Linked DNA regions of Nothobranchius furzeri. The protein of the gene in region 3 interacts with the protein of the main gene of each other region in a biochemical or structural test. Links are inferred from orthologs where the notes say so. Each region holds a gene or a part of one and is shown on either strand. Other genes may lie near its edges. The genes, in order: sytl4, sytl1 and rab27a.

Region 1 (5,731 bases), on a different chromosome or scaffold from region 3:
TATTAATGTTCTGATTTTATTGAAACACTTGTTTTGTAATAGTTCCTTTTCTATTGTGATCAAAAATATTTAATCTATTCTGAGGCTGCTCTGTAAATAGTTTTCAAATAAACAATACACATATCAACTTCTGATCAATCCATATCAATTTCAGACTTAAAATAATATATTGATGTAAACCACACCCACTTCCGGTTAAGCCACGCCCACTTCCGGGTTATGCTCCGCCCATTCCGAGTACAGATACAGATAATTTAGTTAGTTGAACAGATACAGATACAGATAGTGGTGTACTTGCTCATCCCCAGTATTTGGGCACATGCAGCTTTTTTAAGGTGTGTCTTTGTGTGGAAGATGTTTCAACGGTTCAGAGAACAGATCTTTGTCATTAAACTGTGTACCGAACAACACGAATGGAACTTTACAATAAATAATGTTGAAAAAGTAAGAAAAGGATCCGATCTTTTTTTGTCATTTACAGTCATGGAGTTAATGGTGCAGTGCACCTCTGCTTTGATGTTAATCGGGTTAGTTTCTCTAGAGCTTTGCAACCATCTTCGCAAAAAAGTAAAAGTTAAATGTAGGCAAGCATCGCGTTAATCGGATATTTCCCCATTATGTTTATTGTTTTTTTGATGAAAAATCTCAAGGCTGTTGGTCTTTCTGACAGACAGGAATCACATGTAGGTGAGCGGACATTTTAAACATTAAGCACAGAGAACATCGGAGGTAACAAATTAATCAAGAAAAGATTCCCATCAGAACATCTGAGCATTATCTCATAGACACCATGATCAGCACAGCTCACCATCTGTGCACTGAGGAGCTGTGAAGAGCAGCTCGGAGCACGTCTGTAGGTCACAGGCCAACAGGAAGAACAGAATGTTGCAGGTAAAATGTTCCTAATTTAAGTGAAATTGTTTAATTGTAACATTAATATGTTGCTGGACACACTGGTCAGCTTGTTTGGACCAAATATGAATGAAAATGAAATTGTTTATTTTAATTTATTATCCGAGAAATGAAAATGACGATCATGACCGTTTTGTAAACTCTGTCGGTCAAAATGACAAAGATGTCTAGTGTGACCTCTGACTGTAATGTTTCTGTACCTGCTTCTAACTTACATTGATATCAACTAGTTTATCCCTGTAAGGGATGTGTTTGTTGTTCTTTTTATCCGTCCTTTTGACTGGTGTGCTGCGGCTTCCCCTAGCAACGCGAGTCATACACCTAAAGTGGCGCCAGGGGTGTGTGGTTGACAAGCATGTCATGTCTGACAAAGACAAATTTGGGTTTTAGAGTAAATTCCTGGTTATATTAAATACTACAACAGCTAATAAGATACAGAGCACTGCTGCTGTAGGATGGCAATATTTAATCCTCAACTGTGACAAACTTAAAACTGAACTTGGATATCTGAGGGAAAACTGAAAGAGACACTATTCCAGGCCTAGAGAGAAACTTATGCAAGATTAAATGTTAAATTTGTCTTTTAATTAACATATTTTGGCTCTTGTGCAAAGTAACAGGAAGCACTCTTCTCACCGCACACGCTGTTCTTCAACCAGCCTGAGCTCCTCGTCTCGTCGCAGCACATCCAGGACCAGCTCACGCTCGGAGTCGGACAGGAAGCCCAGGTTGATCGAATCAAGAGCCTCCGGCATGGTGCCTTCACCCAGAACCGCCAGGGCAGGTGGATTGACTCAACCTTGTTAATGCTGCATTGAGCCTGGGTCCTTAGAGAGAGAGAAATCATCATTAGGACTTGACTAAACATTTCTGCTCTGAGTAGGCAAAAACAATTAGGTTAAACCTGGATAACTCAATGTAGCCGATCAGAGAGGAAAAGCTAAAGGAACAAGACTCACTTCACACTAGATTACATCTTTATTCTGGTGCATGCTTTTGAAATACAAAAATTAACGTCATCTAGGGTAAAAAACATTAGCCTGTGCATCTTGATAAAGCCAGCACACAGATTTCCCATGACATGACAAGTCAAAGGCCATCCAAAATGATAAATGATGAGGATAAATAAAAATCCCACAGGAAGACTCTGCCAGGGTAAAAGGTTGTTTTGAATAAGGAAGGCTAAAACAACATGATCACGGGTATGTAGCATGGAGGGTTCCCACCCTAAGGACACAGCGGGTGGAGTGGAGCATTAAACCACTTGTGTGCTTTAATTAAATGGATATCCTTTTCCTCATTGTTTGAATGCCAGCTAACTCGAGTTTAAATTACAAACCGCTACAGGACAACTTCTACATCCAGGAAATGGCGTTTGAATTAAGTTATTTTGATCTGTTATGAACGTGTTATTTAAAATGCGGGATAGCATTATGCAGGGTTGTTGTAAATGATTAAAAACAAATTTAATATTTAAAATAAATTACTCCTATTTTTAAATACGATCTTTTCGGTTGAAGTTTTCATTAAAAAGAGGTATATTTACCACTGACGGTTTTAACTGTTCACATTTCCAACGGTTAAAAACGTTGACGTACGCAAATCAATTACGTTCAGCTAAGTGGCATAACCACATAAAAAATAATAGTCTGCTTACAACCATAAAGTCACGCTAAAATGGAAAGTAAAAAAAATAAAACACTTTCACTCAACTCTGCCATAATTTGACAAATTTGAAGGATTACACACACCTGCTGCTGGTGGAGACGACCACACTCCCCTAAGCAGAGCGATATGTTCCTGACACAAAAACAAAAAAAAAAGGATAAACAAGTTCAACTCTAGACAAAAAGACAGGGAACTAAACTATCACGTTGCTACAGGAAACTTTACTTACTCTTGTTGTCGGTCAGGAGCTGAACCGTAACCGAGCTCCGTGTTGGCTCGCTGCCTTTACTGACTCCCGCTGGTCGGACCGAGTTGGACTTCTCTTTTCTTTCCCCCCCTCACAAGACCGGAAGAAAAGGAAAAGTTCGTAGCAGTCAGCTCCTCTCCTCCTTATTTTCCATGACAAGTGCCTGTTTTGTTTTTGCTCTCTACAACCGCTGGATGTGGAAATTTTGGCCCACTAGTACGCTGCAGTAATAATTAGCCAAAAGTGCCAGAAACAGCTTTCCCCCTGCTTTCCTCCTCACCTGGAACAGCGAGCGAGGTGCGCTTTTATAAAGTTTCCCCTTTCAGACGAAAACTGGCTTGAAGGTGTTTTTTTAACAACAAGGAATCTTTTAGACTAAAATGAAACAACTTTCTTTTCATAAAGTATGGAGTACTGAATGCAAAAGTATTTCATTAACACATTTATAGCTTTTAGCGTTTTATAATAAAAATAGACATATATGAATAAAACTTAACTGTCTCAATTTTTATAAATCCTAAATATTTTTAAAGTAAAGAGTAATTATGAAATTTAAATGTATTTTTACGGCCAGGTGTTGATTTCTAAAAACAAAAATGGCTATTTTAAACTGAACATTTAGCAAGATGAAGCAAGATGAGTCTAAAGTTAAGTTTATATTAAGTATACAAAAAAAATGTATAAAACTACTGCCTAGAGGCTCTTTTATGCAATGTCAGGAATGCAGAACTGTCAAGTACACAGGTGGCAGGCTTATGGATGGTTCTAATGGGAAACAGGCTTCAACAAAAGCGGTTGTTTACCACTTGGTCCTAGTGCTCAACAAGTGATATTTAATATAGCGTAATGTTGTTTTTGGACGGTAAAAAGTGCAGGGGACAAAATGTGACTTTAGATAAAGTGTCCCCCGCCCAAACTATGTCCATGCCAACAGGTGTTACACCAAATTCTGCGACCCATCACAATTTGTGACCCCAGGGGTCAGTGTTGCGTTTTATTGCATCTGTACATCCTGACTTGGCATAAAAGAAGATGCTACGTTAAAACCGTAAACTACGTAAGCTTTGAGGAAGTTGTGCGGCGCGGGCCATGGATATTAAAAAGAGCGTTTGTCAATGTTTATTACAAACAAACAGGACAATAAATGCAGCGATAACCAGGGCTTTGACAAGAAATGTTTGCTAACATTAAACATTGATTTTACAACATGCGAGGTCTGCAGGTAAAATGTTCAGAACTTCCATTTATTGAAATTAATTGTTGTGATGCACATCCTCAGTTTATTAGAAACCAGTGCAGATTCAATTCAATTCAAAAATACTTTATTAATCCCAGAGGGAAATTGATTAGATTATCTGGTTGCTACGTTTTCCCCCCGTCACTCCAATGCCACTCATATGTACTGGTGGAGATAAAAAGGGAAATAAAATGACACAAACATCACGAAAACCCTTTTGTTGTAATTATCTTTAGTGAAAATTAAAGACATCTGCATTATTACTGAGATTCAGATGGTCACATTCTGTGATAGCCCGGACACGGGTCACCGGGGCCCCCGTCTGGAGCCAGGCCTGGAGTTGGGGCATGTTGGTGAGCGCCTAGAGGTCGGGCTTTTACCCGTGGTGCCCGGCCGAGCACAGCCCAAAGAGGAGACATGGGTCCCCCTTTTCATGAGCTCACCACTAGTGGGAGGGGCCAAAGGGGTTGGGTGCATTGTGTGTCAGGGTAGTAGCCAAAAGCAGGGACCTTGGCAGTCTGATCCTCCAGCGGCAGGGGCGTGTCCAGGGAGTGGCCTGGGGTAGCACATGCCACCCTTAGAATCTGATTGGCCACCCCAGGTGCCACCCTACCAAGTTCCAATTTAAACTGACTTTACATTGTCGACAAAAGGCGTGAGTTGTAAACTCCAAAAATAGTGTGTGGTAGCATGCACCTTTAACATTATCTTCTAGCCCAGGCCTACAGAACATTTATTAATATTATTTATTTTTTATATTCACATAAATAGTATTTAGAGTCCCACTCAACTCCAGTTGGTGGCAATAATGCAACAAGAAGTGACTTGCTAACCACCACAAAACTAGAAGATGAATAGAAAAAATGGTGATTGTGCAATGTGAAACTCCGAAATTCACAATAAATAAACGATTTGTGTAAATAAATAAATAAATAAGCATAACCATTGGTGCCACCCATGCATAAGCAAGTGCCCCACATGGGCCACCCCATTTTAAAAGTCCTGGACACGGCTCTGTCCAGCGGATGTAAAAAAGAACCTTAATAACTACAAATGACATTAATTATTCCTTATTTGGATCAATTTAATATTTCTATTTTCACACTTACAATTCTTGAGATACTTCATGTGTGTATGATTGATGATGGCTCCCAAACTCAGTCTGGGTGAAGCAGATGTGATTTAGTCAGCATGATCTATTTTTATTTTCATTGTTTTTAATGTAATTTAAATTCCTTTTTGACTTCCTTGTTTTCCCTATTACCTGCTACCTTATTTGCTTAATTTAGGTCTATTACCTCCACTTGGGTGAACTGTATAGGCCCACATGTGTAACTGGAGAAACTAGAATATGGTGCAAATGGCCATCTATGTCAGTAATTCAGCTTAGACTGAGAGACCATCTAAAGGATCAGGAACCCATTGCAGGTGTTATGGATCCATTAGCTGATTAGAGTGACACGGATTCTAGAATATTGAACCTTTGCACAATTTTCTAATTGTCTGAGAATTTGAATGTGGGGTTTTCATCAGCTGTAAGCCATAATCATCACACTTATAACAAATCAAGACGAAGAAATATTTGGATTTGCATGTAATGAGTCCATCTCATATATTAATTTCACCTTTTAAGATGAATTAATAAAATAAATGAACTTTTACCACAT
Region 2 (5,731 bases), on a different chromosome or scaffold from region 3:
CGCAGAAGTTTTCTCTCCCTCTCCGTTAAACAGTTCATTCAGGTTCACATCTGTTACCACGGCAACAAGCAGAGAACTGTCACCGATCTCCCTGCATAAGCAGAAAAAAGGCCCCCATGGGGAAATTATAGGATTAGATTAAGCGAAAACTCACCTCTGATCTTCGTCTTCCTGTGGCGTATGCTGGCCCGGATGAGGTCACAGGCTGAAGTCCACTTTTGATGCCGTTTGCTGCAAACCTCGCTGAACCATTCTCCAGAGAGGAGGCGCAGGCGAGCGTGATCGGTTTCTGACTGACCGAGGATCCTGCAGAATGGAAGGGGGGGCCGAGATTATCAGCAAACTGTCACATGCTTCTTTATTGATGTTAGGAATGATGTTGGAATACATCAGAAACAGGAGCTGATGCAATGAAAACCTAACAAGTGTGTGCAAGACAAAATATGAAAATAAACATTTTTTCTATTTGTTCTGAAGTTTGAAGATGTGAAACACTGAAAAACCATTTTTAATGACTATTTCTGATTATAATCAGTCACTGTGAATTTTTCATGCAAGCTGAACAAGAAAATAGTCTCCTACACCTATCTCCTGCATTAGCCTCTGATAGAAAATAGACTCTAGGATTAGCAAACCCCGACAGATCTACGTCACACTTGTCATTCATGGACTCACCCATCTTGATTCAGGAAAGAGAAGGCTGTTGTTGGTTTAGCGTCCAGGAAACAGCAGAGAACGTCTCGGCTAGTAGAAGCTAAACGTTAGCATTAGCAACTCCACCACACGGCAAAACTCGTCCAGGCTTGTGTTATTTGTGGAGGTAAAACATCGACGTTGCAGAGCAAACAATCAGTGGTAAAGTCACGCTGCTGTTAGCCAATCAGAGGTGAAATATCCAAATTTCAGGAAATCATTTCATTGTCATTTCATTTATTTGTTTATAAAGCCCCTTCCTAACCCGAACTCACGGCCGACGCAGACCCCCCAAGGTGCTGAACACAACACAAATAAAACATAAAACCATCAAATAAAATGTAACAATCATAAAACCAACATAAAAACTGTAAAAGAGAGAAGATTAAATGTTCAAAAAGAATAAGAGGCCAGGGCAACGAAACCAAGTAAAAAATGCTAATCCTGGAAAGCCTCTACATAAAAGTGGGTCTTCAGGCGAGTCTTAAAAGCCATCAATGAAGGTGACTGACGCACCACCAAAGGAAACTGGTTTCAAAGTGTAGGAGCAACACCGAAAACACATGGTTCCCCGTGACCCGCTCTTGGACCACGGAACCATCAACAGCTCCCCATCGGCCAAGCGCAGGGCCCGCAAAGGAGCGTGTTTATGCTAAAGGCTGACAAGATATGCTAGCGCCGTTCCTTGTAGGGCCTTGTATATCAGTACCAAGACCTTAAATTTTGCCCCATACTGCATTGGCAGCCAGTGAAGGGATGCCAACACAAGGCTGACATAGTCCCTGCGCCTAGTCGCTGTCACAAACCTAGCTGCTGAGTTTTGTACTAGCTGAAGGGCGTGCTACTGCGCCCTGACTCAGGCCGGCATACAGTAGCCAAGCCTTGAAAGAATAAAAGCATGGGTGACAGACTCTAGACGTGCTCTGGACAGCAGGGGCTTAATTCTGGCCAATCGACGCTGGTTAAAAAAGCACAATCGTACAACTTGGTACAACCAATCAGAATGAGCTAATCTCAAGTCCCGCCCTCAACCTCTAACTGGACAATTTCCTGGTCGGATACTCAGTTGGTCCCTGAAATGACCTTAAGGATGGTCCTTTTTGGGGCCGGTTCAGTGAAACTGAGAAACGGGAATGTCAGCAAGGTCTGGTAAAATTACCCGGAAGTTCTGATGGGGGAAACGGGCCTAAAGACCCGTCTCACATTTACCCCAAAGACCTCTAGGTACATGTTCTGTTGTCTGGTGGGACAAAAGCGGAATTTTCTAGAAGAAATGCATCCCATTCCATCAATAGTAAAACTAACACTGAAACACTGTAGCAACAGTCAAACATGGAGGAGGCAGAGTGATGTCTGGGGCAGCTTCAGGACCACTTCCTGTTGTTGACGGAACCATGAAATTACCACCAGTCCTTTTCTTGACTCAGACATTTTGTGTTTCACATCCGTTTACTTGTTGAACATTCTCCCCGGGGAGAACCACGCCTGACCTTATACGACCTTCATCGAGATGACGCAACTCCAGGTCACGCTGTAAGACCTGCAAGATGGAGGACTGCTCCTCCTCCGTCAGGTGGCTCAGGTCAAGAGACGAGTCAACTTGCTTCCCTGCCATTCCTGTAGAAGATGAATGCTTTTATCCTCAAATACAAATGCTTCAATGTTTAATCATATTATTTAGCAAGGCACTTTAGCAGAAGGGATCTGTTAGAGAAATAGAGAGACACACTTGTTGTGAGATAAATGAGAATGCACAGAAAAAAAGTGCTTCAAAAACATGAAGAATGGCCTATAAGTGGGAAAACTATTCCAAATATTAAACAAAATATCATTCATTCAGAGCACAAAGAAATATAATCTATACAAACCAATGTGGGGCTAAACACTACAGAAAATAAAGATTAGCCACAAAGTCACAAAGATTTAAACGTCCGTCAATTACAAAAATTATGGAACATAATTAATTCAAGAGTCCAGGAGTGGGCGAGGAAACAACACTGTCTCTACAAAATACACCGATTCATTCCACTTCTGATCCAAATAGTTTTTAGTGCGAATCTGCACGAATCCAGAGAGCTGTCAATCATTTTTGAGTATTTAGTGAGCTGAAATCCAAATTAAATCCTACAAATATTAAAATAGCCTTTATTTTAAAGGTTTGTGTTTAAAAGCAGGAAGTTTTCAGTCATTATTGATTATTTACAGAACGTTGTTGGCCTAATTAACTTTTTTGTCATATAGTAAACATTACTCTGCTTGCTTCAGTTATACACTTAATTTTAAAAAGTTTAACGTAGACTTAGAAGCCTTCTCACGCACCAGTAAGCACTCTGCTGCGTAAAGAAAAAAGGTTTATTTGTGGTTAAGAACTGCTTTTTTTACTTTAAGCTCGCGCATGCGCAACGGGGTTTGCTTAGCAAACTTAACAAGTTAACCGCAGTTTTTCCACGAAAAACAAACAAAACCTGTTTGAGTTCACTACAACATCGTTTCCTGCTCGAATGTTTGTTTCACTTATCATCGTTCTTAAATCCATAACCGCTTTAAGTCGAGTTAATTATTTGTATTTGTTTTAGACTAGCCCGCTTTAAACGTGTTTCTATCGGTGGAAAACGGGCTCGCGCGGCTCTTGTCTGGTCCTAATCAGCGCGTGAGAGAAAACACCTGTCTCTAGCATTTATTTAACTCTTTGACCTCTTGTCAAAACGGACAAAAACACGGTGGGAGTACCTTTACTTGACGTCTTCCGTCGCTTCCATCTGTGAGGAGTCGAGGAAAAGTTGTCCAGAGAGCGCGCGCGCGCGCATGTATGAAGTGTGTATGGAGTGTGTGTTGAGTAAACGGAGTGAACACACCCTCTGCTCAGGGGAGAGCCTGAGAGCAAACACACACACACACACACACACACACACACACACACACACACACACACACACACACACACAAGTTGTTCGCATGCAGAAGTTGCTTCAAAGTAAGGGATTTGGACCACAATCTGGCACGTGGGACATTCAAGCAAGAGTCTGTCTATAACACCTTTAAATAACAAGAAATAATTAAAGCTGCAAGCAGCGTCGTTCGGCCCTCGCAGCTCTGCACCGCTCCTGCCTGGCCGGCAGCCCGGGGCACCAGGGCACGTCCGCAGAAAACAAACGTCGACCACCCCAACACCAGAAACTGCTAACGGCCACCTTGTCCGCAACTCACCCTGACTCAGCATCCCCTTTGAGCCCACCATTATATTTTATGTCTCACCACTAGGGAATCCTCTATCTTTACCACACTGGTGGTGTGATGACAGTGACCAACTTTAATGCTATTCTGACCATGTTTTTTAAAGTTATCGAAGGATAACGTTATCTAGGTGGCGCTGTGACCAACTACAGAAAAGTCCCATTGAGGTCAGCTTTGGTGACATTATATAACATTCACCAACCGTTTGTGCCTCATTGGCTAAAGGGCATGATTGTTCATTGCCATATTCAGTTTCGGGCAAATCGGAGGCCGTTTGTGGAAGTTACAGTCAAATGTAAGGTCATGGCGTCACGCCAGCATTCACCATGGCATCAAAGCCCCTCCCTTTCTGGAAAGCTATCAGATCTGAATGGTCTTTAAAACATCATGAAGACACTGTATGACCTGAGTGTCATTTTCACTAAATTAGAGGGGACAAATATGGGCATTTCACCATAAAACAATAGACTTCCTGTTGTCAGGGGGCGGGGCTTAGGTGATGTCAGCTGTCCACATTGTCGTTGTCTTGAGATGTGGTCAGTGATCACACAGACAAAGTTTGAATTAGATCTGATCATGCACATGGGAGTTATTAAGTCAAGTAATGTCATGGCGAAAGGTCAAACTTTGAGGCTTAGCCACGCCCACACCTTTATACTTATTTAAAATCCGACGGTTGAATTTTTTCCCCTTTGACTTAAAAGTACATAGCATAAGTTTGAAGGTGATCGATGTAAAGGGCAACGGGCCATCAATGTCCAAACAACGTGTGCGAAAACCACTAAATCGAGAACTTGGACCAAAATGGCCGACCTCCTGTGCGAAATTGCGCTTGGCTCCAAGATACTTTTTTGTAGGTCCGGAGACCCTACATGAGTGTACCAATTTTCGTAATCCTCAGTCAAACCTTGTCTTGGGGCTGACAGTTTTAATGGTCCTAGGGGGCGCTATTTCAGAATATAGGCCACGCCCACAAATCTCAGATGCCCATTTCTATTGGGGGTCAGACTAGGATCACTCACCAGACATTTTGTGGCGATGTCACGATAATTGAAGAAATGAGAGGCAAACGTATTGCCATGGCGTGATGGAGAATTTCGCCATGCTCCCAAAGCCCCGCCTTTTTTTCAAAACCTGCCAGTACTGTAGACCAAGTGACCTCAACTTGTCAGCTGCTATTTACAAGATATTCCAGGTGATTGGGTAAAAGGAGTCCAATAGGGAGCTGTGAAAAAAAGAGTGGCGTGGCGAAAGGTCAAAGTTTGAGGCTTAGCCACGCCTACACCTTTCAACTTTTGAAAAATCCGACGGTTGACTTTTTTCCCCTATGCCTTAAGAGTATATAGCAGAAGTTTGAAGGCGATTGGTGAAAAGGGCGAAGGAGCATCACTCTCCAAACAACGTGTGCGAAAACCACTAAATCGCGTACTTGGACCAAAATGGCCGACTTCCTGTGCAATTTTGTGCTTGGCTCCAAGAGACTTTTTTGTAGGTCCTGGGACACCACATTAGTGTACCAAATTTCGTAATCCTCAGTGAAAGCATGGCTTGGGGCTAATAGTTTAAATGGTCCTAGGGGGCGCTATTTCAGAAATTAGGCCACGCCCACATATTTCAGGTGTCTATGTCTCTTTGGGGTCAGACTAGGATCACTCACCAGAAGTTTCGTAACAATAACACGATAAATGAAGAAATGAGAGGCAAACGTATTTCCATGGCGTGATGGCGATTTTCGAGATGCTCCCAAAGCCCCGCCTTTTTTTGAAACCTTCCAGTACTGGATACCAAGTGACCTCAAGTTGTC
Region 3 (5,716 bases):
ACATGCTGAAAGAATGCAAGGATTGTCTGAAATCTTATCAAGCCAGTGAACTGATCATGTGATACATCTGCTGCCATCTAACTGACCACAGCTAGCGAACCGTCGCAAATGAGCATTTCACATCCGATAGATCAAACAATGTACTTTTTCTAACCAGTTTATGTGGGACTTAATACAATTAATTAGCAGTTAAATAGTTGCGTCATAAGACTTAGAACATTTTAGTAAAGTTCTAACTGCATTCAGTAAAACTTGTAGATCTTTGGCTTAAGAAAAAACTAAACAAAATTGTATCTACACTGCGATGTTTCATACACACTTTAAACTTTAAAGCGTGTATGAAACATCCCAGTGTAGATACAGTTTTGTTATATTATACTCAAGGATATACTTGAGCCGTTTCATAAAATAAACATTAAATCTACTTATAAAAAGAAGACTTTTTACAAAATACTGTTGCAACAGCAGGGGTGGTGTTTCACAATCCATCAGACCAGCGGAGGTGCGGGAAACACACATAATTCCTTTTTCATCATCACTTAGTGTTTTGTTTTTACTTGTCAGAGCTGGGCATGTTACAGTTCGTAGATGATGACGATGATGATGATGATTAGCTGAATGTGTGGAGCTGCTGTAGGAGAACGGCTTTCTCTTCTGGAGGTTTAGATGCATCACAGCAAAGTAGACTTCCCCATGAAGTCTTTTGTTCCTTGGCAGCACTTCCTAAATGTTAAAGGTGTGGTAAACTTGTTTAATCAAAACATTTGCAGTAGTTTCTGGTAGGAGTGAATACCTTGCAAGCCATAATCGGGGCAAAAAAAGCCCAGAATTTCTTGGGTCAGCACCAGTCAGCACCGACAAGTCTGCTGCCACATAGAGGCCGGATTTGGAGTCTTATTTCCTGATATTTGAACACCTTGCCATGGATTGGATCACAACGATAATGCATCTTGCATTATGAAAGTTATTTATTTATTTATTTATTTATCTCTACAAATAACACAAGCATGGAGAAGTTTTTCTGTGTGGTGGTATTGCTAGTGCTAATGGTTAGCTTTTACTAGTTGGGACGTTGTCTGCTGTTTCCTGGACGTTAAAACAACAGCCTTCCCCATTGCCAGTCAAGATGAGTGAGTCCATGAATGTTAAATGTCAGAGTTTTCAAATCCTAGAGTTTACGGTCTATTTTCTATCAGAAAATAATGCAGGATTTGGGTGTAGGAGACTATTTTCATGTTCCGCCTGAATGAAAAGCTCAAAGTCACCGATTATAATCAGAAATAATAATTAAAAAATAGTTTTTCAGTGATCCGCACCTTTAAACCGTTTGTGGGTAGAGCGTAGGGCTTTCATCTGCAGGCTCTTTTTATTCCAGCTCTATATCTAAAATACTTTTGCTTTCTTTAAGCAGCTTAACTTCACTAGCTCCCGTGCTGCATCTGTTTAACACTGTTGCAATGCAACACAGTGATTTATAAAAATCCTAAATGTCTGTTACACAAATCAGAAAGCAGGGCTTTTCTGAGACACACCCACTTCAAGCCAAATGGTTATCCCTTCATGTACAGGATGAATGTGATTAAGTTTAGCTTTAAAATCAAAGTGTCAGGATTCCAAGCAAGAGGCTGGGCTGGGTTGTTCTTTATGGATCTTCTAATTTCACTTGTCTTCTTTGTGTCCCCTTTCCAGAAACTAAGGAACCACCATGTCTGAAGGGGACTATGATTACCTCATCAAGTTCCTAGCCCTGGGTGACTCCGGTGTGGGGAAAACCAGCTTTCTGTACCAGTACACCGACTGCAAGTTTAACTCCAAGTTCATCACTACAGTGGGAATAGACTTCAGAGAAAAAAGAAAGGTGAGGATTTATGTTAACCCAGTCTAACTGAAGATTTCTTTATTAGCCAGATACTCTGTGAACCAGCCGTAAATGCATTCCCACAGGATTAATCATTTTCTCTTAACAAAAGCCTGCTGATGGTTGTTGCAACAGAAACGGGGTGTGACTAAAGCTGGTTAATGGTAGGCAGCACCCTCCTTAAGAATAAACACTTCATACCATTGGCAAACAGCTGATTCAAGTTCATATTTACAATCTTCTTGCTTTAATGCTGCTGACATTCTCCACGAGGACATCCTGGTACTGAAATAACTTCACTAAATGTTAGAAATTAAAATGGGCTCTTTGGTAGGATTAGAGTAAGTGCTGTGAGAACAAATGTCCAAATGTTGCAGCTGTGATTTACTAAGTTAAATGTTAAATTATCAACAATCACCCGGAAGACCTTCAGAAGCCTTTTTATCCTTGCTGTTATTAATACATATTAAAATACAATTTCTAAAATCATACATGTAGATTCTCAGTTTTCCAGGACACTGTGATCCCAAAAGTTTGGGATAAAAAAAAAAAAATATATATATATATGTTTAGTTCATTTAAGGAAGCACCTAATTGTAAATATTCTCATCTCGAAATGCTTGGGCGGGGGGACTACAGGTTTTGCAAAAACTCGGTCAAATACCTTTGCATCCTGACAGGTTTCCAAACCAGTCAGATCGAGTTAGATACCTGACCTGTTTAGCATTTTTCACCTCAGGTGTACAATTCAAAAGGTCCAGATGGAACTTCAGGCAAAGGACAGAAGATCCACTTGCAGCTGTGGGACACTGCAGGACAGGAGAGGTATAAAATGTATTTTATATTACATCTTTCCCAACATTATTAATATATTCTGAAATTTGTTGGTTTGTCTCCTGGTGAATGTCAGGTTTCGAAGTTTGACGACTGCTTTTTTCCGAGATGCGATGGGTTTCCTCCTCCTGTTTGATCTGTCAAATGAGCAAAGTTTCCTCAACGTCAGAAACTGGATGAGTATGTCTCCTGATGTTATTACTCCGGAAGGTTTGACACATGATTAGCCCTCATTTGGTCAAAGTCAGGTGTAGCGCGAGCTTCGGCTGCCGCTGTGGTCATATTTCATAATTCTTGTCATTGTTCTTCTAAAAGCTGATGGATGAGAGCCAGGACTGAACACCTGATAATGTGTCTCAGGTCAGTTACAGGTTCACGCTTATTGTGAAAATCCAGATGTGGTTCTGTGTGGCAACAAATGTGACCTGTCGGATCAGAGAGCGGTCAGTGAAGATGAAGCTCGTGAACTGGCAGAGAAATATGGGTATGTTCGTGTGTTTTTGATCCATCCATGTTTAAACGTCTTCCTGAAAGGTTTGTGAAAGAGGCAGTGGCTGCGTTGTTTGCAGAACTCTGCTCAGTAAGACTGGACTGGTCCTCCTGAAGAGCAAATATTTGTCTACATGTATGAAACATCCGGTTCTGGTGCCGTTAGAAACGCCTGTAATCAGCAGCAATCTAAAGAAAAAGAAGTGTTAAATTACCTCAAGCAACAATATTTTCATTGGTTAGGTTCTGCGGTTAATACTCGTGATTTTAGTTCTGAAAGTGTTGGAGAAGGCCGTAGATGTGTTGGGGGTTTTGAGGTGTTTATGGGGGGTTTGTGGTTTCGGGTTAACTTGTAAGAGTGTTTTCTGATCATGTGACCTCACTCAGAATCCCATACTTTGAGACGAGTGCTGCGAATGGGCAGAACGTGAACGAGGCCGTGGACTTCCTGCTGGATCTCATCATGAAGAGGATGGAGCGGTGTGTCGATAAGTCCTGGATCCCAGACGGAACCGTCCACACTAACGGACCCACCAACTTGGACCTCTCAGAGGGCTCAGACCGAGGCAGATGCGCATGTTAGAGTAAATTGGGTTTCACATAGTATTGCAGAAAAAAAGAGAAATATCCAAGTATAAGAAAACGGGAGTTTTGTTTTGAAGCTCGTCTTGATCTACATCATCTGTGGTATTTGCCCCACAAAGCAGCAAGTTACAGGTTTGTCAGGGCAAGGGTTTGTGGATGGTTTATTTTGGTTAGGTGTGAGGTATTTATTTTTTTATGATGCCTACCGTACATATTTGGTTTCTTTCATCAATGCTGAACTGTTCTCTATGGAGCAGTGAGCCAGCAGGCTAATTAGCGCTTAAGTTTGATACGCCCGACTTTTTCAATGGGTGAAGTTTCAGGAACCTTCAGGTCACCACTTATGTGCCACTAATTCTTTACCAAGTGTCTTATTTCATGCTGTAATCTCACCAGAGCTAGGAGACCTATAGATCTCACTGTTCATTCAGTTTGCTAGGGGACGTTTTTATAAGTGCACTTTTGCTAACATTACAAAAAAATTCAGATATCAGAAATAAATATGTTAAAAAAAATAGCCTAGTTGTTTCAAATTCCGAAAGTACATATTTTGACCAACTCCATCCTTTCTTTCAAGTCTGAAACATTAATTTACAGCCTCTCGTTATTTTTTAAACTGAGTTCCTTTTGTCTGGGAGCTCTAATGACCCCCTTCTGCCTTCTGATCAAATACACACTAAAACAGAAGAGGACCAAATGATGACATTTCAGATAGCAGAGATAACATTCTTCTATAAAAAGGACTTGAATAGGTTACATTTGCATCCTTCAGAACTTAATTTTGTGGATATCTTCCTAGAATGCATCCAGTTTAATTTCAACAAAGTTTGCTGTTCTCAGGATTGTCTTTTTCACGTATCAATCAGCTGGTCCAACCTTTAAATACAGTATAATACTCCTTTAGTTTAAGAGTTCATAAAAACTTGCCAAAATTTTTAAGGTGAAACTGTTGTGGAGGTTCATAAAAATGACTATTTGTATTAATCAGCTGATATAATGTGACTTCAGGGATAAAGGAACTTTTACTCTGAGATGTGATGTTTGTTACCTTTACTAGAAGACCACTTTGATGACAAATTAGTGAATTATTCAATAGTTGTTTACTTAAAATGTGCCGGGTTGCTGAATGGGTTTATTTTCGAAAACTAAGAAGATGAAGTGTTGCTTTATAAAAAAGCCAGTTGCTATGGGTCTGTATATTAGTTTACTGTCACTGTCAGTCCTACTGATCTTTTTCTAATGTTTTACAAAAGTCATAAACACTGGATTAACAGGATTTAAAAGTTAAACACGCTTACACTTTCCTGCAGCAGCTCTACTGTGGTTGCAGACTTTGCCTTATTGATGCTTGCCTCTTTTCTCCTGTTAAAGAGTAGATGTAGTGTTTTAAACACAATTGTATTCTGATTTTCCGTCCATGAATTTAAATATTTGAATATTTTTCATTAAGAATAGATGTTATATTGGTTAGTCTGAAGTATATGATGCATGCTGTCACTTGTGCCACGCTTTCATATTAAAATGTGTAAGTTATATGTCCAAAATAAATAAATTCTATTTATGTGAACACTTGGATCAGTCTTTAGTGTAATCAAGCTCCTTTTGTAATTTGTCTAATCAAACTGCTTCATCACCTCACTCTGTTTAAAACTTTTCTGAATTACTATTAGACACATAATACTAAATCCATGAATAAGAATTTGTTTTTACAATAATGTTCACAACAGAAAAAGAACAGTTAACTGGCTTTAATATTTAATAAGGTTTTTTATGTCTGCTTTCCAGTTTTATTTCAAGTCTTTGCCTTCTCTTCAAATGCGTCTTTTTGTTAAATCACTTTTTATGTAAATAACAAACGGAAATTAAAAAAATAAAAGCGGCGTTTCCCTAGTTGGGCTACCTGTATGATGCTGTAATGTCCTGCAGGGGGCAGCACTTCAGTTACAGGTA

Evidence for each region.
Region 1: the proteins of rab27a (region 3) and sytl4 form a complex in vitro, tested with the Homo sapiens proteins (2 studies listed by BioGRID). The link is inferred for Nothobranchius furzeri from reciprocal best matches to the Homo sapiens genes RAB27A and SYTL4.
Region 2: the proteins of rab27a (region 3) and sytl1 form a complex in vitro, tested with the Homo sapiens proteins (3 studies listed by BioGRID). The link is inferred for Nothobranchius furzeri from reciprocal best matches to the Homo sapiens genes RAB27A and SYTL1.

What each region holds. Positions count from the first base shown.
Region 1 is NC_091741.1:84,919,659-84,925,389, reverse strand, and holds the start of sytl4 (synaptotagmin-like protein 4), read right to left. Parts: upstream 2,983-5,731; 5' UTR 2,810-2,982; intron 2,713-2,809; 5' UTR 2,664-2,712; intron 1,740-2,663; 5' UTR 1,668-1,739; coding exon 1,549-1,667; intron 1-1,548. UniProt on the Homo sapiens protein: Modulates exocytosis of dense-core granules and secretion of hormones in the pancreas and the pituitary. Interacts with vesicles containing negatively charged phospholipids in a Ca(2+)-independent manner.
Region 2 is NC_091759.1:21,251,733-21,257,463, reverse strand, and holds the start of sytl1 (synaptotagmin-like protein 1), read right to left. Parts: upstream 3,582-5,731; 5' UTR 3,424-3,581; intron 2,311-3,423; 5' UTR 2,309-2,310; coding exon 2,184-2,308; intron 307-2,183; coding exon 155-306; intron 51-154; coding exon 1-50.
Region 3 is NC_091749.1:60,094,568-60,100,283, forward strand, and holds rab27a (ras-related protein Rab-27A), read left to right. Parts: upstream 1-1,705; coding exon 1,706-1,858; intron 1,859-2,597; coding exon 2,598-2,683; intron 2,684-2,768; coding exon 2,769-2,872; intron 2,873-3,052; coding exon 3,053-3,176; intron 3,177-3,568; coding exon 3,569-3,764; 3' UTR 3,765-4,267; downstream 4,268-5,716. UniProt on the Homo sapiens protein: Small GTPase which cycles between active GTP-bound and inactive GDP-bound states. In its active state, binds to a variety of effector proteins to regulate homeostasis of late endocytic pathway, including endosomal positioning, maturation and secretion.